Lytechinus pictus: one gene and its partner. The protein of the gene in region 1 binds, or shares a complex with, the protein of each later gene. Links are inferred from orthologs where the notes say so. Each region holds a gene or a part of one and is shown in the gene's direction. Other genes may lie near its edges.

What was found.
Region 2: Bardet-Biedl syndrome 7 protein homolog (region 1) and Bardet-Biedl syndrome 4 protein-like share a complex: the UniProt entries of both Caenorhabditis elegans proteins name them as parts of the BBSome complex. The link is inferred for Lytechinus pictus from reciprocal best matches to the Caenorhabditis elegans genes osm-12 and bbs-4.

Annotation. Positions count from the first base shown.
Region 1 is NW_026974140.1:10,640,649-10,657,761, forward strand, and holds the start of Bardet-Biedl syndrome 7 protein homolog, read left to right. Parts: upstream 1-10,000; 5' UTR 10,001-10,087; intron 10,088-11,805; coding exon of another isoform or gene 11,806-13,080; intron 13,081-16,591; 5' UTR 16,592-16,657; coding exon 16,658-16,696; intron 16,697-17,113. Other genes in the region: uncharacterized protein LOC129265491, read right to left, coding at 11,806-13,080. UniProt on the Caenorhabditis elegans protein: Component of the BBSome complex. The BBSome complex is thought to function as a coat complex required for sorting of specific membrane proteins to the primary cilia.
Region 2 is NC_087246.1:53,081,075-53,097,932, reverse strand, and holds the start of Bardet-Biedl syndrome 4 protein-like, read left to right. Parts: upstream 1-7,661; 5' UTR 7,662-7,663; coding exon 7,664-7,708; intron 7,709-11,878; coding exon 11,879-12,017; intron 12,018-12,796; coding exon 12,797-12,876; intron 12,877-15,295; coding exon 15,296-15,471; intron 15,472-15,840; coding exon 15,841-15,967; intron 15,968-16,349; coding exon 16,350-16,477; intron 16,478-16,858. UniProt on the Caenorhabditis elegans protein: Component of the BBSome complex. The BBSome complex is thought to function as a coat complex required for sorting of specific membrane proteins to the primary cilia.

The DNA of each region.
Region 1 (17,113 bases):
CATACTAGTAACTTTTTTATTTTACATCCGATTTTGATGAAATTTTCAGCGTTTCGCTAGTTTGATTTTTCTCTATTTTATTCAAATCAGCATTTTCTGGGGTGGATTTGATCTTTAATATCCGATCCCGCTGCCTTATGTGGATTGATGTTCTTGAGTTGTTTGCCATCGTCACATCCTGCCCCCCCCCCCCTTTAGCGCCCCCCCCCCCCCATTTGAGGTTGTATTACTTTGTTAGGTACGCCTATACGGACCACCGCTCAAAAATAGATATCTAAAAATGATAAAACAATATAGTTCGTGCAAAAAAAATACCGGCAATGTTAAAGACCACTATTGCTTTGTGCATATTTTATCATCTCTATAAAATAAAACTATGTATGGTCAATTCCATGCCAAGTTAGATCTACCCTTAGTCATATCATGGACCTATGAAGAGATGGACATTAATCGCTTAGATAATGAATTCACTGACAGGTGACTGTAATTGTCATCTGAACATTCTCTTCATACTAGTCTTCTTTGGTCCTATGATCGTCACCATGAGAAGGGACTGAAGCAGTTCGTGACTGGACATTAATATTTAACAAATATGCGCAATAGATAACAAATCACTTAAATCATGGAAAATCGGTGTGCAGTTCTTGTTTACCTTTAGTAATCTTAGTTCCATGTGTTTTATTTGGGGAAATGTCTGCATATTTTAATATAGAGGCAATATTGTGATTGACTGTTTACCATTTAGAATTTAATTTTCCCAAGTTTTTCCATAATATTCCAGATTTACGTGGTACTTAACATGTATATATAGATCGTATATTTCTCAATGTTATTGAGGTTCTTATGTGTGAGCGGTAGTTAGCGGATCGAATAATATCGTATTTTATATCATAAAAATCGTCTGCTTCTCAAGTTTGCTGCTCCAAATATGAAGCATGTTGACTGATAGGCACATGCTGAAACAGAGTATCAGCCAACAAAAATCAAGACCGGGAAACTGTTCCGTCTTTGGGTGATCAGATACGACTAACACCTGTACGTTCTCATTAAGATGCGCATACCCAGGCGACGGTGACTATCATTGGACCAAAGAAATGCTCGCGTTAATCGTCCATCTCTTCATAGGTCCATGGTCATATTTAAGTATAATCTTGCGAGAAATAACTATTCTCCTTCAGTAAAATGCGACTATATAGAAAATAGTAAGTGTTGTGACTAAAACATACCCTATCATGGCCCCGGGAAGCGGGGGTGCTGGACCACACCCCCAAGTTTTGCCCTGGGGTGCTGCGTACGTGTATTAACCTCCATAGGCAGCATCCCCTGGAATTCCGGTAGGTGTGAAATAAAAATGGAGAAAAATAGCGAAAATGACCTATATTTTGCAATGAAACTTTTTTTGAGGGGGGCAAATTTCTCGGGACAAGAATATTATGTAGAGAAAGCCTCTTTTTATTGGGGGGGGGGGGCTTGCTTGTCAAATTTACTTCAACACCCCAGTAATAAAATCGTTCCCAGAGCCCTGACTCCCATCATGCAGCTGTACATTAAATCCATACACGGGATGCTATTTGGCTAATCACATAATATGTGTATTATTATATTATTATTGAATCCGCCAATCGACAGGAAATATTCACAGAATCGTAGTTCTAATCCGACCTGTATGGTTGTTCACATTGTGGTCTCAACTATCAAGTAAAAAATCTTCAGGATTGCATCTGAAATATGAAACTGCATGCAATAAGCTATAAAGATATCTTATCTCTTCTTAGGCTCATCAATCAACACTGTAATCCACACGTGCATGTATCCTGATCTAAGGATTGTGGCAGACACATTCATCCCACTCCCCTCCCCCCAGCCGTTATCACATCCCTCTCTCTCTCTCTCCCTCATCCCACCCCCTCTCTCCCCCTATCTCTCTCTCTGAATTTGTCTAAAATCTTGTCTAATTTTATGTTTCGGGGTGGGGACTGTTTCTCCGGAATCCACACAATCAATATTAATTGTTAATCTCTTTCCTATCATATTCGTGTGTCTTATTCACCCCTTTGTTCATTCATTAATAAATTCTCATATTTCCTTCCCAAGATTTCGTGGTGTTGTTTTTTTAATCCATGAAAGATCGGTCTACCCTATACACTGTAGCATTACCAGTGGCGTAATGAGCCAAAATGCTTAAGGAGTCAGACATGGAAGCAAATTTCTATTAAAAAAATAATAATTAATTAATAAAAAAACTGTGAGCCAAGCAAGCGAGCCAAAAAATGACAATTTTTAATACAGAAGTCTAATTAGTTTGACATCAGAATCATATTTCACCCTAGTTCCTCTCCTTTTATTTCATTTTCTCCTATTTTTTTTCTTTCCTCGGGTCATGAAAATGTTGTTGGGTCCAAGCTCTCAACCTCCCATCTGTATATGGACCTACGCCAGTGACCACATCCCTTGATTTTTATCATTATCTTTCTCAATCGTCATTTTAAAGGACAAGTCCATACCCATTCTTTGAATAAGAAGAGAAAAACCCAACAAGCATAACACTAAAAGTCCATCAAAATCGGATGTAAAATAAGAAAGTTATGTCACTTTTAAGTTTCGCTTAATTTCACAAAATAGTTATTATGCACATCCCGGTCGGTATATGCAAATGAGGGAACTGATGACAACAATCACTCACTATTTCTTTTGTATTTTATTATATGAAATATGATATATATATATATTCTTATTTTCTCCTTATTGTCCTGTAAAACAATGTTTTATTTCTCCCTGAACATGTGGAATTATATTGTTTAACATTTATGGTTCAGTAAGGTTGATCCTTACTGTCAAATCTGTAAAACTTGAAATATTCAAACAATAAAAAACAAAAGAAATAGTGAGTGAGTGATACCATCGATTCTCTCATTTGCATAATGACTAAATTGTGCATATAACTGTTTTGTGAAAATAAGCGAAATTTTAAAATGTCACAACTTTCTTATTTTACATCTGATTTTGATGAAATTTTCAGCATTATGCTTGTCTGATTTTTCTCTATTGATTTAAATCAACATTTTTCTGAGATGGACTTGACCTTTAACTTGAGTTCCAAATCCGTCATTGGGAATGATACCCTGCTTCCTCATCCGTCAAGCTCAACTGTTTGAATTTCCGGAACTACATAATACCGGGATATATACCAGCAGCCTCAATCGTCCTCAAATACGTATGTATAGGCATATCTCCCAAAAATTACCCGCTTTGAAAGGGGCCGGGCCAGCAAGGGGGTAACCGTACAGCAAAATCCACTTATAAGGCAAACAATTAAACAAACAAACAAACACACAGACAAACTGACAAACATTATGAGTACACCAGTCCTTTCCGTGCGATCGAGCCGATCGGGCGCAGCAAGCCATGTAAAATCATACGCATTTTTCAAACGAAGTTGACCATTATAGATATTTAGAAAACTAACTTTCCCGTTTTAATACCATTTTGCCAGATTATCTATTTCTGCAGATGAAACAGCTGCTATTTTACAATGTTCCACAGGTCCTGCAGGGTTCAATGATAGGATTCTTTGTTATTCTTTGATTTTACTCTACATTCGATGGAGAGTCGCGAGCAAGGGAAAATAATTACCATCTTGATCAGGCCCGTAACGGTATAGCCGGGGGCGATGGTCTACAGAACCCCGCCCCAGCGTTTAAAGCAAAAAAAAAGAGGAAGAAGAAAGGAATGTGAGGAGGAAGCTAGGGTCGGAAGAAAAAGATAAGAAAAATGAATGAAACAATAAAAGGGAATGGAATCCCAGAAGGAAAAACCAGTTCCACTGGACCAGTTAGACCAGTAGAATCTTAACTGGTAACTCTGGAAATTGGAACATCGGTTTACTGGTCTAACTGGTCATACTGGTCCAGTTAAAATTGTACTGGTCAGGTAAAAATTAAACTGGTCTTGAATTGTAACTGGAATTTTATACTGGTCTTGTTTCTGGAGTTTGTCACTGGTCTTCAAACTGGTATCTAACCCAAGCTGGTAATACTGGTGTTACTGGTATTTCCTACTGGTCTGACTGGTCCTCCAACTGGTCGAACTGGTCCTTCAACTGGTCTTACTGGATCAATTTACTACATGCATTTAGTTTGTTATAAACCATGGTCAGTGAAATGTGGTATGGAAAAGATGGTTAATAAATTAATCTTTCTGCTGTAATTTTAAATGTGTGAAATTACACATTTTCATTGTGAAATAGTTTACACAATTATTTAGAAAGTTTTTTAACAACAATGAGTGCCATTGCAATGATATTCTTTTCTAAATCCTGATTTTTCTTTAAAAAATGGGAAATATGCAAATGAGGTAAACCATGTGATCAGCATCATCAGAATTACTGGTATTACTGGTCTTGACCAGTTGGAAAGTCAATTTCAAACAATAATGGAATTACTTTTGACCAGTTGTTTATATCAAAGGAATATAACTTTGATCTTGATAATAAAAGGAAACAATTATTATGATATTTAATACTAATGATGATTACAATAATAATAACGATAATAATAATAATAATGATAATAATAATAAAAATAATACAATAACAATAATGATAACATTAATAAGAATGATAACAACAATGGTCATGATATAATCATCATCATTATATTAATTTTAATAATAATAATAACAATGATGATAATAATAAGAATAATAATAATAAAAATAATAAAAACAATATTAATAATAATAATAATAAGAAGAAGAATGATGATGATAATGATAACGATAATAACTTTATCTGAATTGCAAGATTCATTTTCCATAATTCGTCAAATTAATTTGACTTGAAATAAAATCATTATTTTTATTGGACCAGTTACACCAGTTTGATGAAAAACAAATTAACTGGTATTAGTACTTTGCTTTAACTGGAATACAATTGTTGGAACTGGTCACCAGTTGATTTTTACTGGTACATTTAAAAATCAACTGGCCCAGTAAAAATCTACTGGAAACCATTTATTGGACCAGTAACACCAGTTTGATGAAAAACAATTTAACTGGTATTACTACTTTACTTCAATTGGAATACAATTGTTGGCACTGGTCTCCAATTGATTTTTACTGGTCCAGTTAAAAATCAACTGGCCCAGTAAAAATACACTGGAAACCAGTGAAAATATACTGGAAATTAACCAGTAAAAAATTTACTGGTCTTACTGGTTTTTCCTTCTGGGATGGTAGGGAAAAAACCTTTCAGGATGATAAATAATAAACTATAAAAAAAAAATTGCTTGCGTATCGCGCTCACATTCGCGTAAATTAATAAATACTCTTCCTGTTCATGATGGCAAAAGGTGAATAGAACGTCAAAAAAAAATCAACTCGCGCTTCGCTCTCGAATCATTTACAATGCCCTCTTTATGCCCTCCTATATCATAAGTTCCCTGTGATTAAACTTCTGACACTTATTAATAGTATTCAACAGAAACTTGTCGAACTCACAGCTTTGGCATCTCTAGGCTACAAACTTGGATGTTGGACATGCATGGGTGACTAGGTATTATTTGACAAGACACATCCATTTTTTAACCATTCCATATTCACTTGAGGAATATGCAGCCAAGAGCGAAAAAATATGTTATGTACCCAGCCAGTGGCGTACCGTGGGTCACAGCATTGGGGGGGGGCACCAGCAAAAATTTTGAGTCACTTAGTGAGTGCGCGAAGCGCGCCCAGTTGCCAGGTATACTGACCTAATATAGACATTTTAAGGACAGTGCCATAAAACGGATATGTCTCTCACTGCTCAAATAATGCGAGCGCGAAGCGCGAGCTTAAATTTTTTGATATTAAGTCCTAAGAAGGGACATTATATAATCAATGATTTGTAATAATGATACGTACCTGTCTCGCTAAATAATGCGAGCGCGAAGCTGAAATTTTTGTAAATATTGACCCCCAAACAGAAAGATTTTAAGGACTATATTTTAGGAATCCATTAAGCGTATACACATCTCACCATAGTCATCTAATGCGAGTGCCAATAAGCGCTTGCTGATTCTGTTAGAATTACATCTAAACATGCACATAAAGCACTTGTAATCATGATTATCAGATTAATCATGATCAACATACCCATCTCACTAATCAAATCTTGCGAGCGCGAGCTGAAAATTTAGGAAATTCAGACCTGAAGAGGAGCATTTTAAGGCTTGTTTGAAGGAATACACGAAGACCATACGTAGTTCACTAACCAAATGATGCGAGCGCGAATATATTCTGATTAGAAAAAGGGACATTTTAAGGACTGATTCTAGGAATTCATGGAGAGCAGACATATTTCACCAATCCACTAATGCGAACGTAAGCACGGAGAGGAAATGTTTTATATTAAGACCATAAAATGGGGCAATCACTTTAAGTAGTCATGAAAAAGAAGCATACTATTGTACATAAAACAATAATAACTCGAAGTGCGAGGAAATATATTTGGCAGTTTGGTGCATATTGACTAGAAAACGGGAGGTTCTAGTATAACAGGATTATATATCTCGGTAAACAGACAATGTGAGCACCAGGAACAATGAAGACATAGGCCCCGAGCAAATTGTGTTTCATAAAGTTATGAAAAAAATGTTTCTTATGTACTATAACATAACATAATTATGAAATAATATAACATTATAATGAACAATAATGTCTTCTTTCCCACTACGTTTCTCTTCCTTTCTCCCTCTTTTTCTCCTTTTCCTCTTTTTTGGGGGGGTCAGCCGATTGGGGGGGGGGGCACGTGCCCCCCATGCCCCTCCGTTGTTACGCCACTGTACCCAGCTATTAATCCTCAAAACCATATTAATCTCTTTATATCTTCAACATTTACATTTCTCTTTGTAGCTGCTCTTTTTATATGATTAAGTTTAAATACCATGCTCATCGTACTGTTAAGAATTTGTAGACAAGCAATATACAAACAAGGATAATTTTTTTTTTTTTTTTAGAAATGAGATAAATTAAGTGGTGTCCTTTAATTTGCCATTGCCAGTATGCATGTAGGCATATTATTTAAAGGGATGGTCCAGGCTGGAGATATTTCTATCTAAATAAATAGAGTAAAATTCACAAAGCAAAATGCTGAAAATTTGATCGAAATCGGATAACAAATAACAAAGTTATTGAATTTTAAAGATTTGCATTATTCCGGTAAAACAGTTCTAGGCATGTCTTTATGAATATTTATTAGGTGGGTTGATGATGTCATATCCCCACTTGTTCTTCTGTATTTTATTATATGAAATTAGATTTATTTAAAATATTTCTACCAAGGAACAATTGGATTGACAACTGATTAAGCACATTAGTTATTTATTGCCGCAACTTATTTCATCATATTGAAGACACATCATGTACGCACGTATAAAATAACATTTATGATTTCATGTAATAAACTAAGAAAAAGGAAAGTGGGGGATGTGACATCATCAGCCCACCTAATGAATATTCATGACGATGTGCATATAACTGTTTTCACAATATATTGATAATCTTTAAAATTCAATAACTTTGTTATTTGTTATCCGATTTTGATGACATTTTCAGCATTTAGCTTTGTGAATTTTACTCTATTTATTTAGATAGAAATATTTACATGTACAGCCTGGACCATCCCTTTACAAATGGTACTGTACACTTAAAAGTGGATTATTTTCCTCAAGATTGTTTAAGGGTAAAATACATCGTTGCTAAGGTAAATAGTGTTGCTAGGCAATGGAATTGTGTCAGTAGATGATGGTAAATTCCTGAATACTGTTTAACAACCTATCATATGTTAATTTTCTCAATATTTTTACTCTACGGCACAACTTCCTCAGCACATTTGACCGAGATGAAGAGTGGTAACATAGCCGTTGCTAGGGAATATTGTTACTAGGCAACACATTTGTCTCCATGGAAGCTAAAAAATAGTCAGTTTGTTGAATGATTATTGAAAACGAGGTTGTAGGCTGCATCTAAATGATAATTGTGTCAGTATTATTGCTCATAATGAACTATTTTTACACAGATTTGTCCAGGGAGGAGAGTCGTTATCATAGTCGTTGCTATGGAAAATAGTCGTTGCTAGGCAATGAATTGGTATCCATGGGTAATGTGAAATGGTAATTTTGTTGTTGTTCTATTGAAGACAAGATACTGCATGTTAATTGATCAGGTATTATTAACTCAATCCACTTTTTTCACCACAAAATAGTATAAAGTATGTGACTTGTACGTACGTATATATCAATGTAGTCAAAATGAACAATAATATGGCGATTTGTACGATAGAAGGGGGTGTGTTAAGTAGAGCTTAGCACATTTATTTGAGGTTTGCAATAGTTAAAATGGGTTTTTTAGTTCTTTTTATTATTTTTCAATAATACTTTATAGAATTTCATTGGTGTAACTTATTAGGTTTAATCTAACCTAGTTAAAAAGTTAAAAGTTAGGTTTGAAATGGAAAAATAAGTGGTTTACTTAAGGAGCCAACTGGTTGCTAAGGAAAGTTATGTTGCTAGGCAACAATTTCTGAGAAAATGTTCATAAAATTCATGCTAAGTTGTTATTCAGTAATCCTTCTTACAATATAAAGTGGAACTATCCTTTAAAAATAAGAAAAAATACCTGATGATTTAAATTAAATAGTAAAAAATCAATATTCACGATAAATTTTCAATATGTATTTAAAATGGGCGTGGCTTAATCAAGGCCGGTTTCCATGGTGATGCTACACATTACGTCACTTTTAATGCCCAAATCCGAAAAATTCAGAAATTTTCCTTTAATTTGATGTATGATTTTGCTTTGATCCAGCCGGGGGGATTAAAGTCAATAAATAAGCCACTTTTTGGCTTCTGGCCGCTCACCTAATACAACAAGCAGTTCTGGCGCGTATGATCTGGAGAGATAAAGCGCCATCATATTCATTTATATACTACCACTTAACAAGTTTTACAGCTTGTTAGTTGGTTTCACCCTTTTTGTTTAAACAAAGCTCGTTCTTTATTCAAACATGTGCTGAAACTGATCAGTTTTTAGGTCAGAATGTCAAAAATTTCCACCTCGCACTGAGTAGGTAACCCTCCATAGCTGGATACACATCCTGCTTAGAATGCCAATCTTTCAACTCGGAATGTCAAAAATTTAGCTCGTGCTTCATTCGCGCTCGCATTGTTTGGTTGGAGAGATGCATATCTTGATCATGGTCTTTAAAAAAATGGATATAATGTTCAATAAATTTTTGGTGTGAATAAAGGAAATATCCAACAAATCGAGCTCGCATTTGCAATATTTTATTTATTTGTGTTCTGCAGTGGGCGGCCCTGACGATTAAAGATAATTTCTCCAATTATCAGGAAATAAGGGATTTGTATATGAATGGGGAAAACCTATGAATGGTATGATCTACTCGTGTGATAATTTTTATCTGATGCCGTAATTGTTTAATCAATTCCCAATGTATGTCCAAGCCTGATTTCTTTGCTTTTTTTTTTTACTCATCCCTGATCTCGGAGGCCGGCGTTTTTGGAACGACCCACATATTTTGGAATGCAATCACGTACGTGATTAGGCATCAAACAAGTCATGAAACATTTCCCATGTCTCATCTATATCGGTTTCTTCGAGAAACAATTCCCAAGGGGCGTAATGACTTGTGAATGTCCAACATCTGTTTTATCGTTTTATCGTTTTATCATAACGTTAGAGGAGATCGACGAAACTTCTTTACTGCAATTATACTTTTATCTTTATTTCGAAGGAAGTAACTGCGTTGTTATGATCACTGATATTTCGCATATACTGAGAATAACCTGAATCACTGTGATTTCATTTCTCACAAATATCATTTTCTATCAATTTGCAATGGTTTAGACAACTGAAAGAGCTAAATTAAGTCAATAACAAATATAATGATCATCTCCATATCCATGTTTAGTCGATCAACTACAGAGCTAGAGCTAGAGCTAGAGGGCAGCAAACGTCGAATTCCATATGAAAATTTTCCTTTGCAGAATTTGTGGAGCGTTCGTAGCAACGAATGCAGCAAATATTATTCAAGGTAATTGGATCTTATCATGTAATTTGTAACAGTTATATTTTATAGTGTTGTCTGTTTTTACATCTAACATTGTATGTATAAACTTTTAAGGTTTCTGGTTGTAATAGTGGCAGGTTGTGCAGCTATATAATTTCTACTTTCCATAGATTGACTTTGAGTTTGAGTTTGAGCTCAGTTTAGTCCCACATATTGAATGTAATGTAAGTCAGACGAATGTCGACTCGGTTATGGTGGTCCTAGTCCTAGACCTAGACAGCTGGCGCTGGCAGCCGTCTGTTTCGAGGAGTTTTTTTTATTTTTTACATTTTTTATTTCTCCTCATACACAGCTCGCTATCGTGCAGCCACCGTTAGGCCGATTAACAATGCAAAATCTGACGGGGCTCATCGATTTTTGTCTTTATTTCATAAATTAAAAAATAAAAAATATACAAAAAGAACTTTACCAAATTCCAAAATAAAGATTGTTATTCCGTTTTACTTTTAGCCTGAAATTCACCAAAACGGGGAATTAACAGTGACTTACTTCGGCTGCCGCGCAACTTCACTTCCCTGTTTTATCCGAACTTAATACATAAACATGGCCATTGAGTCCCTGTACAGATCGAGCTAGAACTTCGGTCTCTGACTCTGTATTTGGTGAGTGGAGCCAACAGAGTTCAGCGGAACAACCAACATAAAAGTGTGTTATGAGTTTTTGTCAGACGTGTATCAATCAGATATGATTATTTACGTCTGGGACTGACCTTTAACGTCACCATCCGAAAGACGTGACCAGGGCTCGAACCTCGAACCTCTGCATCAATTTGTAACTTCCCCGCATAGCTTGGATTACAGGCGCACGCCACAACGCCCAGCAAGAGACCGAAGCTTTTGGTCTATAGTATGGTGGTCCTAGCCTGGAGGCTTCTGGAGAGTAAAAGTATCTACTGTACGTCACTCGTCATCCCCGACCATTTTCCATACAGCAAAAGGTAGGGGATGGGACTAGAGGTATGTGAGGCGTACTCATAGACAAAATTTGTAAAATGTAAAAGTAAGAGAGTTTGACTTACCAGTCTTTCTCCCGAACCAAACATTGATCTTCCTTCCGTTGTTGCTGGAATTTATCTTGGACTCAACAATATATTGTCATTTATTCGAGGACTCTTCGAGAAATCGTCGGAATGTATGATGAAATTTGGTTGTTGTTTGAAGGTTTGCATGGTGGTATGTACAATCGCTGATGTGGTTTACGGTACACCATGTGAAGTGTAACTTGTAGAAACAGTGGATAGGAGAAGAGAAGAAATGGATAGGCGAGAAAGTGGAGATTTGAGAGTAGATTATTCTTTCTTGAAAGTAGTCCTGAAAAGGACTGTAAACCAGGAAAGATTGATGAGTTGAGAACAGCTTGAGTAGTAGAGCTAGTGAGGAGATGCTGGCTTGAGTCGGCGAGTAGAGATGATGAGTAGTAGAGAGACTCGACGTTTCGGGCAGGTTGACTGTCCGTCTTCAGGAGTGAGTGTTCGCTTGGCGTGCGGCGGTACTTATGGCGTTCGTGCGGACGTGGGGGAAAGCGCTGGGCCGGCGGTCACGGCGGGCGGACGTCGTAGGTGGCGCTCTGTGCGTGGGTCGGCGGTTTTTGGCGGGAAACGAGTTGGCGTGGTATGCGGACGCGGTGAGTAGACGGCGGGGTGAGTTACGGCGGCGGTGTGTGTCGGCGGCGTGGTAGGTACATCAGTGGTGGCGTTCCGTGCGTGTTGGTCGGCGGACTCGTCGGGTAGGCTTCGGCGGGATTGAGTGGGTGGCCTGGTGTACGGATGAGGTGTTGGGTCGTCGGCGGAGGTTGTAGCGAGGCGTCGGTGTCGGTGGCGTGTGCGTCGGCGAAGTTGCTGGTTGAGTTGGTGATTCGTTCAGACTGCTGTGTTGGGTAGGAGGGCTTGGTAGGGTGACGGTGGACGGCGAGTTGCTTGTGGAGTTGGTTGTGGATTGGTTGGAAGTTGGGTGGTGACGTAGGATTGGGTGCCAGATTGTGTTGATGTGGAGACCAGGGTCTTGAGGCACGGTGTTGTGTTGATGTATCTCAATGGCTTCCCTGACCCTTCTGGTATTCCAGTGCCGGATGTTGGTGATTAGGTGGCTCTTGTCCCAGTCTATGCTGTGATTTTCTTGTTGTGCGTGTTTGACGATGGCAGATCGGTCCCAGTCGCTGCGTCGGTGGTGGGTCTTGTGTTCCTTGAGTCTGGTGTCGAAGTCTCGGCCGGTTTCTCCAATGTAGACTTTGCCACAGTCGCAGGGGATCTTGTAGACGCCTGGTTGCTTGTTGGATGGGTGCTTGTCCTTATGAGAGTGCAGGATGGAGTGTAGCTTGCGGGAGGATTGGTGTCTGACGAGGATGTTGGCAGAGTGAAGGATGCGTTGTAGTCGGTGTGAAGTCTTGCCGATGTAGGGAAGTGTTATGGTGGCGATAGGCTTGGTTTCGGATGGGTTTTCGGTGCTGTTGGTGTTGGGTTGGTGGCTGGACGGTTGAGTGTTAATCCTTCTCCTGGGGTAATGGTTGATGGTGGTGAGTGCATTGGTCACGTGCTTGAGTTCCTGCTGTAAGTGTGCCTTGTCGCTTAGTTGGTGGGCTCGTCTGATGAGAGTGCGGGCGACTGATTGGTGGACGGATGGGTGGTGGTGTGAGCGGAAATTGAGGTAGCGGTCTGTGTGGGTGGGTTTCCGGTACACCTGGTGAGATGGGAATCCAGATGGTGTCTTGGTGATGCGAACGTCTAGAAAAGGGATTGAGTCGTCGCGTTGGGTCTCCATGGTGAACTTGATGCTGGGGTGCTGGTGGTTGAGGTGGTTGAGAAACTGGTGAAGGTCGGGTGTGCTGTGCGGCCAGATGACAAAGGTGTCGTCGACATAGCGGAGCCAGAGTGAAGGAGGTTTGTCCGCAGTCTTGAGTGCTTGGTGCTCGAAATGTTCCATGAAGATGTTAGCGATGATTGGTGAGAGAGGTGAACCCATGGCTGCTCCTTGTAGTTGTTTGTCAAATCTCCACTTTCTCGCCTATCCATTTCTTCTCTTCTCCTATCCACTGTTTCTACAACACTTCACATGGTGTACCGTAAACCACATCAGCGATGATGAAATTTGTCATGATCCTCAGCAGCGCATAGACTTCTACATAGAGGATGTAACGCGCCCTCTTGTGCTCAATTAAAGAAAGCTAACGGAAGCGACCACACCACTGTCCTCTACAGAGCTGTATAAAAATGCTTAGTATATATCTCTATGTTCTCACCACAGATACCTGTTTCCGGTGATGCTTCTATTTCGGATCTCCGAGATCCAGCGATAGTAGTCTCTTTCTCCCCTGACACACAATATTTTGTTATAATTATTTTATACATAAGAATAATTGTTGTAGCGCCATCAGCTTAGTTTATTCTATAATGAACTGTATCTTGTCGTATGGTGAAAGGAAATATGATGCCTTTTTTTTGGGGGGGGGGGTTATTGCTTCTTCTCTCGATCCCCCGATCCCTCTCTTTTATTGAGTATTATCATTGTAAGGGTTAATTATTAATATTATTATTTTGGTTTTCTATTATTTTTCATATTGTTATGGAATATTCATTTTCATCATCATATCACTTTTGTAAGCCCACATTTTGTACCGTCCTGAAATTAATATGGGTAAAGGGTGAAATGTGAAAAAAATGGAAGGGGCAAGAAACTCAAGACAAAGTGATAAAACAGAACATAATTACGTTCCAATTTTTTTTAATGAGTTTCTTTTATTTATCCAGGATGGGGAGCACATCAGGCTCGTGCCCACCCCCTCGAAAGCCATAGAACACATTTATTTTGCATCCATTTTGTTTGATAATTTGTATAAATTGTTAATTTCATTTGATTGTAATCCTTTATGTTTGGATTTGAAATCAATTAAATTAACTTGAAACTTTCCCGCCCTCCCCCTTGAAAATTTTGATCTGCCCCTAGGCCTAAATAGGCCTTTGTGGTAAGAGATTTTTTTTTAATTTTTTTTTTTAATGAAAACCCTTTAGGTTTAGATTTTAAATCAATGAAAACAAACTTGAAACTTCATACTGTATAGCAAGCAGCTGTTATCATAATTGTGAAATTAATCGTTACATAAATCTCCTTCACGGGGGGGGGGGGGGAGCTTGTTATTTTTTTCTGTAAAAGAAACCACCCCCTCCCCCTTTGGAAAATCCTGGATTCTCCCCTGATTAGACCCACAGCAAAGTTCGTTATTCCGAACTTCTGTTACATCAATAATTCGGAAATTAATGCCTAACTTTGTAAAAATATTTCTATCGACAAGTTCATTAATCAGAAAAGAATAAGGGGCTTCTTCATCAAGAGTCCCATATTAAACAGAAAATTAACAAAATCGAAACAACTGAATTTCTCCTTTATTTTTTTATTTCATACAAAAATGTCTTATTTCATTTCAGTTTCACAACTACTAGTATCACTTTTGACTTTGTATCAATATGAAACAAAATTGCAAATTTGTCTTGATTGAGGCTATCAAGACTTCCTTACCAGAATGCATTACGAGCAAAGTTTCGTCGAAACCTCAACGGTCAGTGGTCCAAACGGGTTGATGAGCCTCTATGGTTTCGTGAGATCTTTTTTCTTTTTTGATTTGTCACTGTCGTACACCATAGACGTAATGGAGGCATTTGGATGAGGTTCAGGTTGAGAAATCGGTGAGTTTCTACTCATTTTTAATATCATATTTATTAATTCAAAGTCATATCCGTCAAAATAACATTTTACATCAACGGATCAGTTCAAGTATGAACTGATTCGCGATGCTTTGGGCAACGGATGGGGGGGGAAATGAGCAATTTTAACAATAGAGAGGTATACAGCCGAGAACGAGGTTATATTATAACCTCGTTCGTAGGATGAGTGCTGTACGTAGGCTTACTCTCCATTGAAGCCTGGCTCTGGTTACCATTAGTGCATTACTCTCTATATACTGTAGGTTTTCCCACGATGAAACTAGACCTAAATCAGACATTTTACTTATCGTTTTGAGCCCAAACTAACGTACATGGGCCAAAACAATATTTACCCCCCGAAATTGACAACGTTCCATATATTTATTCAATAAATAGTAGTAAATTTGAAAAATAATTAAGAGCACGAGCGTTTACTTACCCAGTCTGTTTTCGTCGCCATCTTGCCGCCTTTGTTATCGATACTTAATCACTTGTTTTAGGTATTCATTGTTTGTTCCTAGTTATTAGTGTGATTTGTTTTTCTCCTTTTTGACTGTTTATACTTTATTTGTTCTTTGTTTATTCCAGTATTATCTTTGTATGTTTGTCTTGATGTATTTTACATATATGTTGTTGATATGGACCTCTGCATATGCAGCTGTGTCTGGAATAAAGTCTTGAATTGAATTGAATTGATACCTAGATACCACACACGTGTAGAGCTGCCAACTTAGATTTTTTTAAATTCTTGCATCGGCCGATAAATATCATGAATCGTAAAATACTTGCATCGGTCGATAAATATAAAGGTCAATTTATGATTTATTTTTTCATTCACCAGAGTGCTCAAAAATTTTAATTTTGAGCATATTTTTTGTGTAGGCCCTTTATTGGTGGAAAGTAAAATTGCCAGAAAATTGTCTTAAAGGTCCCATGAAATACAGCAAAGATGCTGATTTATTCGTTAGCTTAGTGGTTACTACGATTCCATCAAAATTTTACCCGAAAAACATCCCACATCAGGTTCAAAGGCAGTTTTATATTGAAAATTGAGCAAAATTCGCTCCGCCCACAAAATTTCAGCCCAATTTGGTTTCGTATATCACGTGACAATTATGACGTCAGGGAAGGAAGCTGCTGAGCGTTGTTGACGTTTGGAGCGTGAAGTGCCTATTGTGGTTGCACGTGTGGATTCAAAGTAAATAAATTGAATTGCTGGAATAATATTCAGAACCTGAATCTTCAAAGTCTGAAGAATCAGATGCAGCTGATGACGATGCTGCAGCCATGATCAAAACCTCATAAAAATCTAAAAAATCCGTTCAGGATGAGCCCGGTCGAAACAGCAACTACACGAGGAACGTGTACAATAACTAGTGGTCCGGCTGCACAGCTGGGAAAGCCTTCGATGACGTCACAATGATTGACAGGTTGATCGGTTGACTCTTTCGAAAATTTTAGTGGGCGTTCCCGTTGAAGTTCATTTCCATGGAATAACTCAACACCGATTCGTCGTACACAGGAACCGATGGCAAATTCGTATTTTTCAAGTAAAACTACCTAATAATAGATATGTATCTAGAATAAGATGGAATTTGTGTCATAGGACCTTTAACAATGTCTATATGTCTATATATGAATTCATGAGATCAGGGGAATATGTTTTCTATTTTAATTTTTTTGTCTTGCCTGTACTATCATGATTAATGGGTTTCTCAGAGTAGCCCTCTTAATCTAATTCTGTTATGATTTTGATTCCCCCCCCCCCCTTCCAGTACATTGGATGGAAAGAATTCATAGAATTTTGATGAGGAGATTTCCATAGAGATTAATCCTTCAAGATGATGGAACTAAGTTTAAACCGAGTGGATTATCTCCAGGTGAGTCCTCAGCCCTCTTTTATTTGAACTTGGGAGCATTTTCATGAAACAAATAGGCATTGATTGTCAGTGACTGTGAAATCCTTGCATCTGATTGGCTCAGAACAAATTAGTCAGTGAAAACCAACTATTTGCTTCATGAATCACTCTCTGAATGTTGTTTAGCTATATAGGTTTAACTATGGGTAGCTAAAAGGTAAAAAAAAAATTAATTGTAGATGTTAAATAATACTCGAACTACTAAAACCTGTCTTGGATGTTGAAATAATAACTCAGACTGTAGTTTTCTTCACATTGTATTTATGGTGTAGTTCTTGTTTTAGTCTCCCCCCCCCCCCCCCCCAGAGCATGAAAGTGATTTTTTTCCTCATTGGTCTCACTTTGGGTTTCATGTGAATGTCAAAGGTGTTTTAATTG
Region 2 (16,858 bases), on another chromosome or scaffold:
CAATGTAGGCCTATTTCAATAATATTAATAAAATGTTGCAATTATCTTTCTGATGTTTCAATGTTCTAAAAACGCTTATAATCATTTCAGCTGAAACCATACATTTTAATATAATTTAAACATTTCTTTTAAAACATTATAATGTTGTTTACGTTTAATGATTTAAATATGTTATTTCAATATAATTATGAAATGTCGCATGCAAAGAAGATATCTTATGATGTTTCACCTATACGAATCATTTATTTTACGAAAACGATATGGTAATCAAGCTACATACTTTTTTGAAACTTTTGATGGTGAAACAAGTACGTAAACATAATCACGCCTTGTTATATCTATTTAAGGACGTTCCACAGTTATATTTGTGCGCATTATGATCTGCGCATAGTTTACACTCTGCGCGCTGACGTCACAATGGATGAACAGGTATTAATTAGCTGCGGGTATGAGCTGATTTTTCTCATCTTCTGCACTTTAACTGCAGATCCGATGCGTTATTTCATGAAGCTAAAAATTTGAATTATTCCATGGACCATTCAAAAAAATATTCTCTACAAATTCAAAATACTTTACTCTGCAGTGCTGCCAAGAATCACGAATATTAGCCCGAGTTTGAATAAATGGTAGAGTGGTTTTGATTTTTTTTCTTCACATAGATACTAAGCATTCGGCCCATTTTTGGTGTTTTAAAAAGCACATTTGCTCTAATAAAAATGCTGATAGTTTAAAAACAAGCACATGAACCCCTATTTTTAATGTTTGTACCTCTTAGGTATACCTTCCTCTACAACTCTGCAAATTTTGGTGAAAATTACATGGATTTTGAATAAAGTGCAGCATTTATTGTACGTTTGTAGTTTGTTACTGAAATTTTACATTTTTCAGATTGGGATTTTGTTATCTTTTACGCCATTTTTAAGAACTGACAGTGCTGTTAAACTTAAAATTGCAAACAAATAGCACTATTAATAGATTCTCCATTCTAACGATACAATTATTAACTCTCTTGCGAAATTTGATGACTTTTTCATGTATTTTGAACGAGTAATGGAGGTTTAAACTCATTGTAGTAATCTTGGGCGGTCTAAAAATGCCAAATTCTTTTGAATGCGCAATTCTTAAGAACATCAATTTGGGTGAACTTTAAAGCTCTATAGCAAAAAATCAAGCACATGGACCTATGTTAATTTTTGCTTATTTCGAATATTAAGGTTCTAAAGTATCTATGTGCAAAGTTTGGTGAAAATGACATGGATTTCACTTTAACTGTGGAACGTCCTTAAGCTGACAATTTGGTCATTCACTGTTCTCATGAATATTCATGACTGCTACATCATGTCCAGGGGTGGTATTCTGAGATCCATTTTATCTCAGATAAAATAAAATATTTTATCTCCGTTAAAATCAGTGAGATAAAATACCCTTAAAATCTCTCCGAATTGGTATTCTGACTACAATTTTATCTTCATTTTATCTCTGTAAGACACACCTATTTTTTAATCAATATCCAATTAGAAACGCGCTTTTATAGCTCTCTCATATCACTCAACCAATGAAAATCCATTCCGCCAGGAGGTGTGGCAAAGGAGTGAGATTGCGTCAATAAATTGACTTCAAATACGCTTGCAATATACGCTTGCGCGTCTTTACAGAGATTTCTTTTTTTTAAATGACGATACTCTCATCTTTTTTCGAAGTCTATATTGCATCTTTTCAAGCATCATTTCAAAGACGATATTAGTCAAGAAAAGTCTTATGAAATACTTCCTGATTGTACAGGAATAACGTTAAGGTATTATTCTCAATAAATATATAATTTTTCTTCATTTTCATGTCAACATTTGTAGTTAATTCACCAAGAAATAATGATGAAATCAACGTCGCGGAGATAAAATAGCCCCTACCCTCTTTTAAGTTTATTTTATTTTTTCTTCAAAGTAACATGAGCGCAAGCACATCATCCGCGTTGCAATGGCCAAATCATGGGCCAAATACGCGAAGGGTATGTCTACGCAGGCACTCCTCTGTTGCGTATCATCTGTAGATACGCAAGATAAAATTTCTACGCAAGATAAAATTTAAAATTTTATCTGAAAGATAAAATGTCATCTCAGAATACCAATTTCATTTTAAGAGATAAAATAAAATATTTTAAAGATAAAATGACCTCAGAATACCGCCCCAGATGGCCAAACGTATTTCCAACGTTGGCAAAATGTTTTTCCAACAATTATATTAGAACGTCGTAACGTTATCATGATGTCATTAAATCATAAAAGATGGTTTTCCTCTACATGATAATTTCCAACGTTTTTTTTAATGAAAATATCCCTATAATATTGTCAAAATATTTTATTATGACCTTTCTAGAACATTTGATGTCATTTTAATCATAATGTAATTAATATTATCAAAATTAACCTTTCTAGTTTGATTGTGCCGTCATTACATTTTGATAACATTTAAAGTAAACCTTTTACATTGAAAATATGTTATTAAGATGTTTCTTTGATTTCTGAAAAGAAATCATCATGAAAAGGGTTTTGTTTAACATGAATATTTATTTACTATATAGGGTTTTGAAAACGTAATAAAATGATTTAAGATGGTGTTCATTATGATATCTTTTTTTTCAAACTTTTTAGCCCTCCAAAGGCCTTTTATATTGAGTCAAAAATAATATCAAAATATACACCAGCAAGCATTTTTACACGATCAAAAAATGAACTCAAACAATAATAATTCTTAAACTTTTCTCTCAAGTAAATAAAGAATGAAGTGACATCCATTTATAAATTTATTAAACAAACCCGATATAGAACTAACATATCTCTCGTCTTCATAATATTGAATCATTTTTTTTTATTTGCATATGAAAACACTGGTTTTTTACTATTTAAAGGACAAGTCTACCCCAACAAAAAGTTGATTCAAATAAAAAGAGAAAAATCCAACAAGTATAACACTAAAATATTTTATCAAAATCGGACGTAAAATAAGAAAGTTATGACTTTTTAAAGTTTCGTTTATTTTTCACAAAACAGTGATATGCACAAGTAGGTGAGTCATTGAATTCGATGATGTCCATCACTCACTATTTCTTTTGTTTTTTTTATTTTTTGAATTATACAATATTTCATTTTTATAGATTTGGCAATAATATATAAAATATATAAAAAATATATTTAGATCCCATATATAACTTTATAAAAATGATAGCAAAGTTTAAAAAAATTGTTAATATTATATTATAAAGACACTAATAAGGATGTTTCTCATACATTTTGAAATATTTTGGCAAATATTAGAAGAAGCTTTTTTTTTTATGTTTGTTGAACTATTAAAAAAACATATTTCAAGGGCGGATCCAGCCTTCGCCAATAGAGGGGGCGGATTTTTTCAGCCACATTTTCCCCGATCGGCCGCTCGAAGTTGATTTTTGTTTGTTTCTTTGAAGGGGTCACTTCTAAGCTTTATTCTTATGAATCAACATATATATATCCAACAATCTCGTATAAGCCTTATTTCAATAGTGCGAAGAGCTAGCTACTTTTTTTATTTCATGTATTTTGTCCTAAAATTTAAACATTCCGGGCAATGTTTGTGATCCTAAACGAGATGTGTATCCAACTACATGATACGTTTTGACTTTTGATCTAATAAAAAAATGATCTGTTAACGGCTGCTTGCAGTTAGCCCTGAAGACGTTACATATTTCAACAATCAAATAATGCGAGCGCGAAGCGCGAGCTAAAAATTCTGATATATCTACCTGAAGAATGGAAATTTTTAGCACTTTTTGTAATCGTGAAACGGTATGTATGTAACTAAACAATTGATGTGAGCGCGAAGCGCGAGCGGAAAAATTCGAGATTTACACCTGAAAATGGGACACTCTATTCATGTTTTGTAAATCATGAAAAGGATGAGAAATCTTCTTACATTAATATTGCGAGCGCAAAGCGCGAGCAGAAAATTTTTGATATTGTGAAATGAAACTGGATAATGATTTGAATAGAGAACAAGTAAACAAGCTGCATATCTAAATATGCATGCGCACACGTGTTCCAGATTTCGATCTGAAAAGGGTCAATTTAAGATCTGTATTTCAAGCACTTTGTAGGAAAATTGTGAGTTGGATATGGATCACTTTAAAAAAAGGGCTCATATGTTTCATTGATACTACTTTGAGTTTTGACATAGGACCAGAACAACCCAAGAAAGATGAATATATCTTCTTATTTCTCTTCCTAAGCGCGAGACGAAACTTGTCGATATTCCATTCTGAAAAAAGGGACAATTTGATTATTAAATCAAAATCTTATTTATTAATCCAATAAGCCTAATGTGAGAGCGCGAAATCTGTTAATATTATGACCTGAAAACTGGACATTTAAAGCACTTTGTATTTATGAATAAGATGCATGAGTTAATATATTTTCAACAATCAATGCGAGCGCAAATCGCGAGCCTGGGGTGGTATTCTGAGATCCATTTTATCTCAGATAAAATAAAATATTTTATCTTCGTTAAAATCAGTGAGATAAAATACCCTTAAAATCTCTCCGAATTGGTATTCTGAGAACAATTTTATCTTCATTTTATCTCTGTAAGACACACCTATTTTTTAATCTATATCCAATGAGAAACACGCTTTTATAGCTCTCTCATATCACTCAACCAATGGAAATCCATTCCGCTAGGAGGTGTGGCAAAGAAGTGAGATTGCGTCAATTTATTGACTTCAAATACGCTTGCACTATACGCTTGCGCGTCTTTCAGAGATTTCTTTTTAACAAAAATGACAATACTCTCATCTTTTTTTCTAAGTCTATTTCGCATCTTTTCAAGCATCATTTCAAAGACAATATTAGTCAAGCAAAGTCTAATGAAATACTTCCTAATTGTACAGGAATAACTTTAAGGTGTTGTTCTCAATGAATATATAATTTTTCTCCATTTTCATATCAACATTTGGAGTTAATTCATGAAGAAATATTGACGAAATCAACGTCGCAGAGATAAAATAGCCCCTACCCTCTTTTAAGTTTATTTTATTTTTTCTTCAAAGTAACTTGGGCGCAAGCACGTCATCCGCGTTGCAATGTCCAGATACGCGATGGGTATGTCTACGCAGCCATTGCTCTGATGCGTATCATCATAGATACGCAAGATAAAATTTATACGCAAGATAAAATTTTAAATTTTGTCTGAGAGATAAAATGTCATCTCAGGGGGGTGTTTCATCAACATTTTCATCCGACAAGTTGTCAGATCTGACATCTTTCTCTGATGTTGATTGGCTGAGAGGTACTGTTACTATGGTAACTGTCGGATAAAATGGGACTTGTCGGATAAAACGTCCGACAAGTCCTTTCATGAAACGCTCCCCAGAATACCAATTTCGTTTTAAGAGATAAAATAAAATATTTTAAAGATAAAATGACCTCAGAATACCGCCCCAGACCATAAAACAAAAAGTTTTACAGAGCACTTTTTAAGAATCAATTTGCAAATCAAACAAAATGATGAAAGTTCGATTTCCGAGCTGAAATATGTTTTCTATGCTGAATTCAAATTTTGATATTTCAAGCTCCATATCAATATGTAAATCACCTAACAGGCAATGCGAGCGCGAAGCACGATCGAAAATTTTTTATAGTGACATGAAAGATTTTTAAAATTATTTTCCTAGTCTTCCTCTCATCTTATTTTATTCACTCGTCTTCCTCTTCTTGTGGTTCCCCTTCTTTTTTTCCTCTCTTCTCCCTTCTTTTTCTTTTTTTTCTTTCTTTCCCCCTTTTTCTTTTTTTTGCTCCGCCAATAGGGGGGGGGGGCTGGGCCCCTCGCCCCCCTGGATCCGCCTATGTATTTTTATTACGTTTCTATTACGGTTGATGTTATTGTATTCTAACATCATTTTTTTAATGATAGTTTTTCATCAAATATATACCCTTATAAAAATGTTAGTAAAATGTAATGAATTTCTGAAAAAATTCATTTTATAAAACATCGGAAAATATGTTTAAAATACATTTTAGTAACGTTTTTGAAAAATATTAGGGATTTTCTTTCAAAAACGTTTAGTGAAAATATTATTAAAGCCAGGCGCGTAGCCAGGGGGCGGTGGGGGTGGTCGCCCCCCCCCAAAAAAAAAGGGGGAAAAGGAGAAAAAGAAAAAGCGACAAGAGAAAGGGGAAGAAGGGTATAGCTTTATTGTTTTTCTTTTTTGGGGGGTCAAAAGAATAAAAACCTAAACGAGGCGTTGTTTTCTCTCTTCATACAGAATTTTGCTTCGGAAAAATATATAAAATGCCTTTCCACGTTTTTCCCCTCCCCGGCCACAAGACTTGTATATATTCTTGCCATTAATTATAAAGTATACACATAATGGTTAGTTTCGGTCATGTTCGCTCATTTGGTGTACGTAGCAGACGATGCTAGACTGCTCGTATATAGTACACTTACGCAGATCCTTTTGCAAATCAAAATCAATTCCGGACTCGATATTTGCTCCTCAAAACTGTAGCTATATTATAAATATCAGTAGGCAAAGCTTTATAGTACAAGAACATTGTTACTTTTAACATATAAATGCGTTAATTAAGTTTATTTGGACTGTATTAATTGTTTCAAATGAAAAGGGTCTAGAAATAGAAACTATCATACGTTAGTCACGTGACGTTGTACACAGAAATATGCCATGTTCTGCCTGCTTGATCTCAAAGTTTGGGAAAAAAATGATATGAAAAATATTATTTTAAAATGATATGAAAATATTATTTTAAATCGCATTGACACAAAATTTCGGCTCTAATTTTGTTCGGAGCGGGTAAAACACTGCCGTCACTCTCTGAGTCTCCAATGCTATTGCTTCTGCTTTTCAGCCCCGGTTTTCAGCAAGCAATTTTTTGCAAAGTATCTGCTCAAAGGGGAGGCATTCCCGTGCTGTATGAAAAAATATTTTTGAGTTTATTCTATATTGCTGCATGCATATCCACCTCCCCTTTCGTTTTGTACCATTACATTTTAATGTCACTGAAATTAACAGACGGCTGCCAGCTGTCTGAGTGGGACCAATTTGACCAAAAAGCGAGTGTCACTACTTCAGATCATCCAAAACACTCGATCGCTACTCTCGCTCGTTCGCGAAAGAAATAAAGCCTTATAATAGGCCAACATATTTTATCAAAACACACAACTACTTCACACAATGATCTATAATCTCATGGTGAAAATCTGTTTGCACCCCTTGCACCAAAATGCCAATTTGATAATGTAAGTGCTATATTTTTTTGGCTTTGCCCATTCAAATTCACGAAAAATCTGCCGCCCGTGACCCCAAGCCCCCATCCAGGGACCGATCCAGGATTTTCCAAAAGTGAGGGGGGCGGGCACATTTTCCCGAGGAAAAATTTGACAAGCAAAAAAAGAAAAGAAAAAAAGGGTTTTCAATATTACCTAAAATAATAACATTTCGTCCACGTAAATATCTGACAAGCAAGATAAACAAGTTTTCACTTTCAAGGGGGGGGGGGGGGCATAGAAATATATACTAATAATGGGGGGGGCACACTGCTGTTACTTTTGTTACGGCATTTTTACATTACTATGGCGCTGGCATGCTCGCTCTAAAATTCTTGGAGATGAGGTTGACATTATGAGCGAAATGGCCGACGAAACTGTTGGTGTTGCCAAGGAAAAGGTACGCCAATATTTTGATGTTTTCTTCTCCTTCCTAATTTTGTGCGGTATTTATTTACATTTTAGCGTTTTAGGAATAACCATGAAATGATAACCAATCGTCTAAATTAATGACTTTCGAAAAGAAAGTATTTTCTATCGAAAAAGCGTCGGTGAAATCAAAATTGGCGATTATAATTGCACGGTCCCACATGCTCGTGATTGTGTAGTATGGTATAGTGCCTTAGTGCCTAGTGGATCGTTACGTATTGGATGGGGGGTCGGGTGTCCGGACACTTTATATTTTTGAAGCCTTCTTTTTTGTCTTTGGATTACACTAAAAATATGAATTCAATACTTGTAATCATCTTCTATTTTGTTCTTTATAATATTTCCTAATATTTTGTACTAAAAATTTATGAAACTTCGCTTTCAAATTTTTCCAAATGACTTTCTAAAATTGATCGTCCGGACACACAACAACTGGGTAGGCCTATATAGTCAAGTATTGTATTACCGGACACTATTGTGATTCCGGACGCGCATATAAATGCGTTCGAAAACAATTTCGTACCGTAAGACTTCCGCAATTCATTTTCACAGATCAATACATAGAACAAGATTGCAAAAACAAGGCGAAAAAATCAAATTTCTTCCTTATTTATCTCTAAAATGACAGAAAATGCTTAAAATATCATATAACATAGTTTTGCATTAACAATTGAATGAATTGATATATTTTCTTACGGAAATATGGGCCTGATTTGCCGAATTTCAATCTCGTCGGCTCCTTCGATCGAATGATGAGGTGAGGTGTATTGTGGGTGATCGTCGACGGCTAGTTCTCAAGGTACCGTGCGCGAGGTTTACCGTGAGTAGAGCCGTCGACGATCGGCTGCGCATCGATAGAACTTGATGAGCGTCACGATACGAACGAGCACTGGAAAGTGCCATGAAACATGCAGCTAACCAAAAAATAAAAAATAAATTAAGTTATCAAACACAAATTTATTACCAACATCTGCTCAAATTCGATATAAAAAAAGCAAACAAAAAGTTAGAATTTATTCATGATATGATATAAGAAGAAAAAAATCACAGAAATTTATTCTTACATCATTATAATCAAGGATATCTTTACCCGTCCGGCGCGCGTCCGGAATCATGATGTAATTTGTCGCGCACGAAAATAATTGTTTTTCGTGGAGGGGTATGCGGCAAGTGCGATGCAAAGAAAATGGTTGGTAAATATAAAATAATTTTATCATATTAATAATTTTCATAATATTTGGAATAGCAAGTGCGAATTTTTCTTGATTGTATTTCCTCTAGAGTCTAGTTGTCATTTTTAAAGCACTGTAATAAAGGTGTCCGGCAATAGGATACACTGCCATACTAGTATTACTACTAGTAACTAACAGTATGATGGGGGGACCTAAAGCTACGCACTTTGTTTTCAAACAATAAAAACTATCCCAATTTTAATATTTCAACAAATATCTTTCACTAATTTGTGGCAAACATTTTAAAGATCATTAACCAGAGGCAGTGTAGCTCAGTCGGTTAGAGCGCCTGTTCCGGATAAGATCGTAGATCTCAACGTGCGTGGGTTCGAGTCCCGCAGCATGCCGGAAGACGTCTAACAAAAAAAACTGTTGCTAGAGTTGTGTGTTAAAGTGCCTCACCGCTGTGTTCAGTGCGGGTGTGAATGCAGTTGGAAAACACTCCGTCCATCGGAAAGGACGCAAATGTTGGTCCCGTGTATAGGAGAGTCACAACCTATGCACGTTAAAACCAATACACTATTCGTCAAAGAGTAGGGTGTTCACCCGGTGTATTGCACCTGCCGGTCCCCGGTACTACAATACTGCAAGAATCTTCAGGATTGAAGGAGGCAGTGTAGCTTGAAGAAGAAGAACCAAGGACCAAGAAGAAAATATCGCAAAACTCACTAATACGAAAATCCCTCCGTCCTGTCCGTGTTTTCCGAACACCTCTTGATTTCGCCACCCGATGTAGAAGGGGTCCTAAAGCTACGCACTCGATTTATCATGCAAAAAAATTATTTCCTGTGCCTCAATTTCTAAAATATATTCATATTATTATAGGATAAAATGAAACTTAGGAGTTAGGCGAATATTACTCCAAAATTCGAAACAGTTGTTTTCTCTGCATTAAATTAGAGATTTACTGCAGCCTCTGACTCTGTAGAAAAAATTGAACAGGAATCGTTCGTCACTCTGCAGTCACAGTTCCACACACAGAGTGCGCATTTGCCATAAAAACTGTATGCGCGATGAGTGGTGCGTAGCTTTAGGACCCGCGCAGCTTTAGGACCCCCTACCATACACTTAGTAACACTTTTCTTGAATAGTTATTTGTCTTGTCTTAGTTGTTGCCCACAATCATAAGAGTTGATTATTATGGCGAGTGGAATAAGGTCAGTGAAGAAGGCACCTGTCCTTTATTTGATATTCGCTTTTTTTTATAGATCTAACAAAGTTAAAAGTTACTAGTAGTAGTTATAGGGCCTAGATAAGATAGTACTACTACTAGTAGTAGTAGGATGGGGGGTCGGGTGTCCGGACAGTTTATTCTTTATTGTCTTTGGATTACACTATAAATATGAATTCAATACTTGTAATCATCGTCTATTTTGTTCTTTATAATATTTCCTAACATTTTGTACTAAAAATTGATGAAACTTCGCTTGTAATTTTTTCCAGATGACTTTCTAAAATTGATCGTCCGGACACACAACCTGTCCGGTCACACAACAACTGGGTATACTAGATTATTTCTAGATCTATTTTTAATTTTTCTATTTTTCAATCATATGCTGCTTTAGACAGCTGGCAGCCGTCTGTTTCGAGGAGTTTTTAATATTTTTTCTATTTTTTTAATTTCTCTTGGTGTGTGGAGCCAACAAAGTTCAGCAGAACAACCAACATAACAGAGACCGAAGCTTTTGGTCTAAATGCTGCTTATGCATATCAAACACATAGAATTAGACCTAATAATGATACATACCTAATAATATTAATAATACATGTAAGCAAATAGTACCTAGCAGCTCATCAACCTTGTGACAAACACACTGAGAGTATACCGAGGAGATCATTTGGGTGTGGAAACGACCCACAACGAACAACAATAATACTACATGAGATTTGTATAGAGCACTCTCCATCTTGATTAGATGCTCAAGGACAAGGTGCTTCAGAGCAGAACAACAAAAACTATTTACATATAAATGTCTGAATAATAAGTCAATGTCTGTCAAAAAGCAATACAGGTATGTTTTTAGGTACCTCAAGTGAACATCAAGCCCGTGAACTTGCTCTGATACTCCGAGTGACAAAGGTGGGATTTTATGGGGAAAATATAAAATTCATGCAACATCATGATCTTTAAAAACAATTAAAACTGATATTCTTACTTTACACGAAGTTTCACTTTTCCATGCTTCTATCAGTCTCAAAATTGGTGATTTAGAGCCAACATGGAGTTCCCCACACGTATTAATAATTCGCTGCCGATTTCAAAACATCGCATGCGCAAGAGTCTAAGCTCGGACCCTCGGTCCTGCGATTCGGCATCAAATCACTGATTTTGAGACGTTTGTGTAGAGTAAGCTAAATGTATGTTTAGGTTTTCATGTGGTGGCTTTCTCAACACAAAGTGCCACAGTTTGTCTTTTTTTTTTGATGAGCGAGCATTTGTCATGTTTGCCCCCCGAGAGTTCGGATAGGTGAAGCGGAGGGTAGCGGTAGTGAAGTGTAGTGTAGCCTATCCAAACCCTTGCCTGAGGTATTAATTATGCATCAAAGACCTTTTGTAACTGGGGGAAGTTCCATTTACTATATGAAAAATCAAAAGAAGGATTTTAAAGATTACCGGTATGTCTTCCCTCATTATTCTCATAATATTCATGTCAGAAAAAGATCAATTGTTAATGCAAAATTATGTTATATGATATTTTAAGCATTTAGTCCAATTATGCAAGGTCTGGGATCAGCCTCTGCAGAAACAAGATTGTGGGTGAATGTGTGCATCGCCAGATAAGTCTAGGCTCTATGTGCAAGTTAAGGGTGAAGAAACGATACTCCTCTACAGAAAAAAAGGATATAAACAATGTGCAAATGTTCTTCCCTGTGGTTTAATTGAGGATTGTAATCTTTCCTTTCTACAGCTAGCTCAAGAGGAGTATGTCACGCCAATGAGAATGGAGCCTGAGCCAAAGAAACCTTCAGATTTAGTCCCTGAAGCAAGTGCTCCATACTCTGACAACCCTCCACCAAAACCTCAGGCAAGGATCAGGGGTAAGAAAGGTAAGAAGCTTCCCTTTTCAGGCATTTGGGTCCAGTGACATGAACGTCTTTCAATGATTTTTGGTAATGGTCAACCAGCATCTAAGCTAAGAGACTGAAAAGTTCTACCACTTAGATTTGTTTTGCTGCTTCCACTCACAGATCCTTGCTGTTGGCATGTTTTTGTATTGTTTGTCCATTCATTCATCCAGTTTTCTTGTCACAAATATCTGCAAACCTGCATATCACAGGGCCAAGTGCAAAATGTTATGACAATGTGGTACTCATTTAATTCATTATGTCACTAATGCTTTTCCCACTACATATTTTTATTTCTAAGTTTTATTAAATTTATATATTTAAAAAAAAATATTTTAAGTTTTTCTTGGGGGGGGGGGGGGTCAATTTTAAATGAAAAAAATAAAACTAGGCAATGTTTAATGGGTCATTTTAGTTACAGTAAACAATTTTTTCTTTCTTTTTGCTGAAGTTAGATCCCTATTTGACCACAGAAGGAGAGTATTAAAAGGTTGCAAAAGACAATTCTTATTCAGTGGTGTGTAAAGATGGATTGTCCATTCTTTAGTTGTCTAAATTCCAAGCATAAACATGAAAACAAAATACACATAATTTGAGTTTGAATGCCTGCTGGAGCAGAGGGAATAAATGACCATCCCTTACCCTGGAAATGAGTGTTCATCTGATATATATTTTTAAAGTATATTTTGTAATATTAAATAAATAAGAAAGAAGTTGTTTATTTGTCATAATTTACAATTTTCCTTTTTATTTTTCTGAAGCTCCTGAACTTCCAGTATTTGAAAGGAGAAACTGGTTAATTCATCTTCACTATGTCAAGAAAGAATTTGAGAACTGCAAGGTAAAATGGGTTAATTTTCAGTTTTGCTGATATTTGATGGCGTAAGGACTTATTCGTGTGTATCTTTCATTGTCGTTTTGTAATGATCATTAGGGACTTGTGTTGGGAGCCCTAAAAATATATGTTTGTTATATGAAATCATTGTGGTATACTGGTATTGAATAATTTACAAATACATGTATATTAAAGTAAATGAAAATAGGTAAAATATCTTTCCGTGCACAAGAGGTTTTTTTTTCTAAATAAATGAATTTAACAGATTATGTAACAAGGCAACTAAGATTGATTACATAAAGACTTTCATACATTTTTTTCCAGGGACCAAATCATCAAGCCTTATGTTTTTCCTGTTAACTTCGTCTTTTATGTCATTCTCGCCAACCGCATTTGTGAATCACAATTGTATGACGTTTTGAAGAAAGATAGATCTGATAATTATGACTATAATGTATGTATTATGCATAATGTGGATTTTATTTGAGTAGGGTGTATTTTAGAAATTAAGAAGTGAGATAGGGGGAGACCGGGGTTAGTTGGAACATTTTTGACAAAAATGGCTGTAAAATCCAAATAGATTTTATTCGAGAAACAATCAATATATCAGCTTGAAGCATATATCTCAGGGCTTCAAATGTACCCCATAAAATTTTTAACTCTATTATGGTTACTGAAAAAATCCACCTTGAACAAGACTATCACAAACGTTCCAACTTACCCCCATATCGGGGTAAGTTGGAACATGGTATGGGGTAAGTTGGAACACTGCATGGTCAATTAAGAATTATACTAAAACTACTTAAAACTGTAATATTACATGGTTTTAGCCTATTTGCTTTATCTTATTCAAGTTCAAAATATTAAAGTGTGGATTCGTTGAACTTTATGTTTTCTATTATACAGCCACTCACGCAAGCAGACTGTGTAGTAGAATTCCGCATATTTGGGTGCGTTTGAGTTTACATGCAATTAAGTGTACTATCAGCAATTTCATGTACTTCTGCATCAAAATATAAGACAAAAATTGATTGTTTTTATTTTTTTTCATAATTGATTAAAAAAATTTCCAGAAATTTGTTTTTTTTGTATGTTTTTGCCTTTAACTCTATTTATTAAGCTAATAGAATTTTTGGTGAGAGTATCAATTTTCACATTTATAACAAATATCCACCAAAAAATGCAAAAAAATATAATTTCTTATGTATTTTTTTTTTTCGAACTTTGTTTTTTCCGATGGACTTTGTCAGGAGTCTTTTGCGAACATAAATAGCATAAAATGAATTTATTTGAACCAGCAAAAGTAAAAAATAATCCTACATTTATGACTTTTGGTTGAAAAACACAATTTGCATTGACCTTGTACATGGAATCACCTTTTTGAACAATTTTGGGTCCGAACATGCACATACAATTTGTTGCGTAATTTTGAAACCGCGCACACAGGCATCACAAATTTGGTCTCAAATGATGCGCAAGACTTGAAAGTAAAAAGTCAGCTAGCAGTGTAATCAAAAAAATTTGTGCGACGGCGTAGTGACAAAATTTCTTGAGGGGGGCTCAAATTGACCCCCCCCCCTTTGATAAGGGTTAACATTGCATTAGGTGCCTACAATAGGCCTTAAATGCACACTCGGAACTAACTGATAAACAAAACAAGCATGGTATACAATACATGTTCAGAAGAGTGTGAAATACTTTTTTTTTTTCTCATATCCAATATTTTCATTCATAATTATGTTTGGGGTAAGTTGGAACATGTTCCAACTAGCCCCTTCAATTTTGTTCCAACTAACCCCGGAGGCTCATTTGACGTTTATAAGCTTACAGCACAAAAAAGGGACTTCACCATGGCATATTAATAACCTCATTTTGTAGCTTGGTATAAGTGTCTTTTATACCCCTAAACTGGCCAACTTGATTTGTAAACTTCTCTGAGATAATCAAACATTTCTGAATGAGAAAAAAATTACTCAGAAGGTCAAAAAACAAAAATTTATTTCTAACTTCACCAGGCTTGTTGCACATGTGTTGTCTGTAATATGGTGGATGGCCGTTGATAATGACAATAACTTGAGGGCAGTATTGCAGAAATTCATTTAAAGACGTTAAAGAAAATTACAATGTTTCAACTTACCCCATGTTCCAACTAACCCCGGTCTCCCCTACATCTTGTTCCGATTCCAGTTTACATCAGGATACTGTTGTTGTTTTTTAACTATCCTGATTCAGGAAAAATCAAAGTATGTAATGCTTTCTATTTTCTTGTGCCCCTACAAAATTTATAATTTGTAAGGAATTTTAGATTACCCTCATGCTTTATTTAAATTTACTAATGTAATTATTTTCCCTTTGTCCCTTTCCATTAACAGTGCATTTCAGAGATGATTGTTATTTGTTATTTTTTTATTATTTCAACAACCAGGCTCTAATTAAGGACCAGCTTCAGGAATCAAATGGCCTGTGTGAGTACGCCCTCTTTGTCCAAGCTCTTATCCTCCGGCAAGAAGGCAGGATTCAGGAATCATTAGAGTGCTTTCAGACATGTGCCTTAATTAATGCTCAAAATCCAGACAACCTGAAGCAAGTTGCTCGCTCTCTGTAAGTTTTCCATATCAACAAGTTCACCTATTTTGATTCATTTTCTAATTATTATTATTTTCATCATTATTCCTTGAACAGATTATGCACACTTATCACCTGAAGCATTGCGAGTTGTAGCTAGTGATGTTATCATGTTTCACATCTTTAGGAACAGAATAGATTTACTTTGAAGTATGATTATATGAATACTTTTAATTCAAAAGTAAAAACGGAAAAAAGGAAGTGCGGTCCACTCCCAATACAACTTTGATTCTTCATTTATTTCCATTAAAAAAAAAATAGAGATAAGTTTTAAGGTTGTTCGATACCACTTAAAAATTGTTTATTCCATAGATTCCGATGAGGTCATTATTTTTTTCACCTTAGATTCCTATTAGGAAGGCACAAGGCAGCTATAGATGTTTATTCTGAAGCATCTCGGATGACAGAGAGAGACTGGGAGATCGCTCATAATGTAGGAGTCTGCTACATGTATTTAAAAGAGTACCTCAAGGTAATAACAATGTAGTGAAAAAAAGTACAAAACAATTTTGGTATCCAGTATCCACCATAGAATGAGAGAATTATTGAAAGACGTGAAATTTATAACAGAATATGATTTTACACTCACAATTCCATTTCATATATCTTTTGTAATGTATGAGATTCAAAAGAATGTTTTTGAGAAGGTCCATGTAGCGCAACCATTCACAAATGCATTTGAGACAGAAAGATACCCAGATATTAAAATTTAACTTATGTGTGCCCTATATTTGTTGCGCTATTATCATCTATATTAACAACATCTTATGCAGTGATTCCCTAGTAAAAATGGTAATATTCTAACAAGAGAAGTTTGAAAGCACTAATTTGACTTAATCTCTTATGCATTTCAGGCCAAGGAGTACCTAAAGCAAGCCATCCAGTATAACAGACACGATTTATCATATGTAATGCTTGCTAAGATATACTTGATGGAAGGAGACGTCCAAATGGCTACTGATGTTTATAAAAGAGCTGTTGAGTAAGTCTTTCATCTAAAAACTATTTATACCCATTGCCTACTGAAGCATGATGGTCCCTCTACAAACCTTAATGGGCAGTTTGGATGTTGGAAGTTACTGGGATCAATTGAAATCATTTTTTGGTCATTATAAAAAAAGTTGAAGTATTTGTATTTGCTAGTTATGTTAGTTACATTAATAAAAGAAAACATATATATGTAATCTTATTTTAAACTTTATCATAGGGTAAAAGGTAACATGTTAATCTGAATTTTATTAATTAACTCATACAAATAATGTCACAATTTATTTTTGCAAGTCTTTAAAGATGCTGGCCTGTAGATGAATTAAACTTGATAAACGCAGTCAGACTGATACATACAATACATTGATTCAGAAAG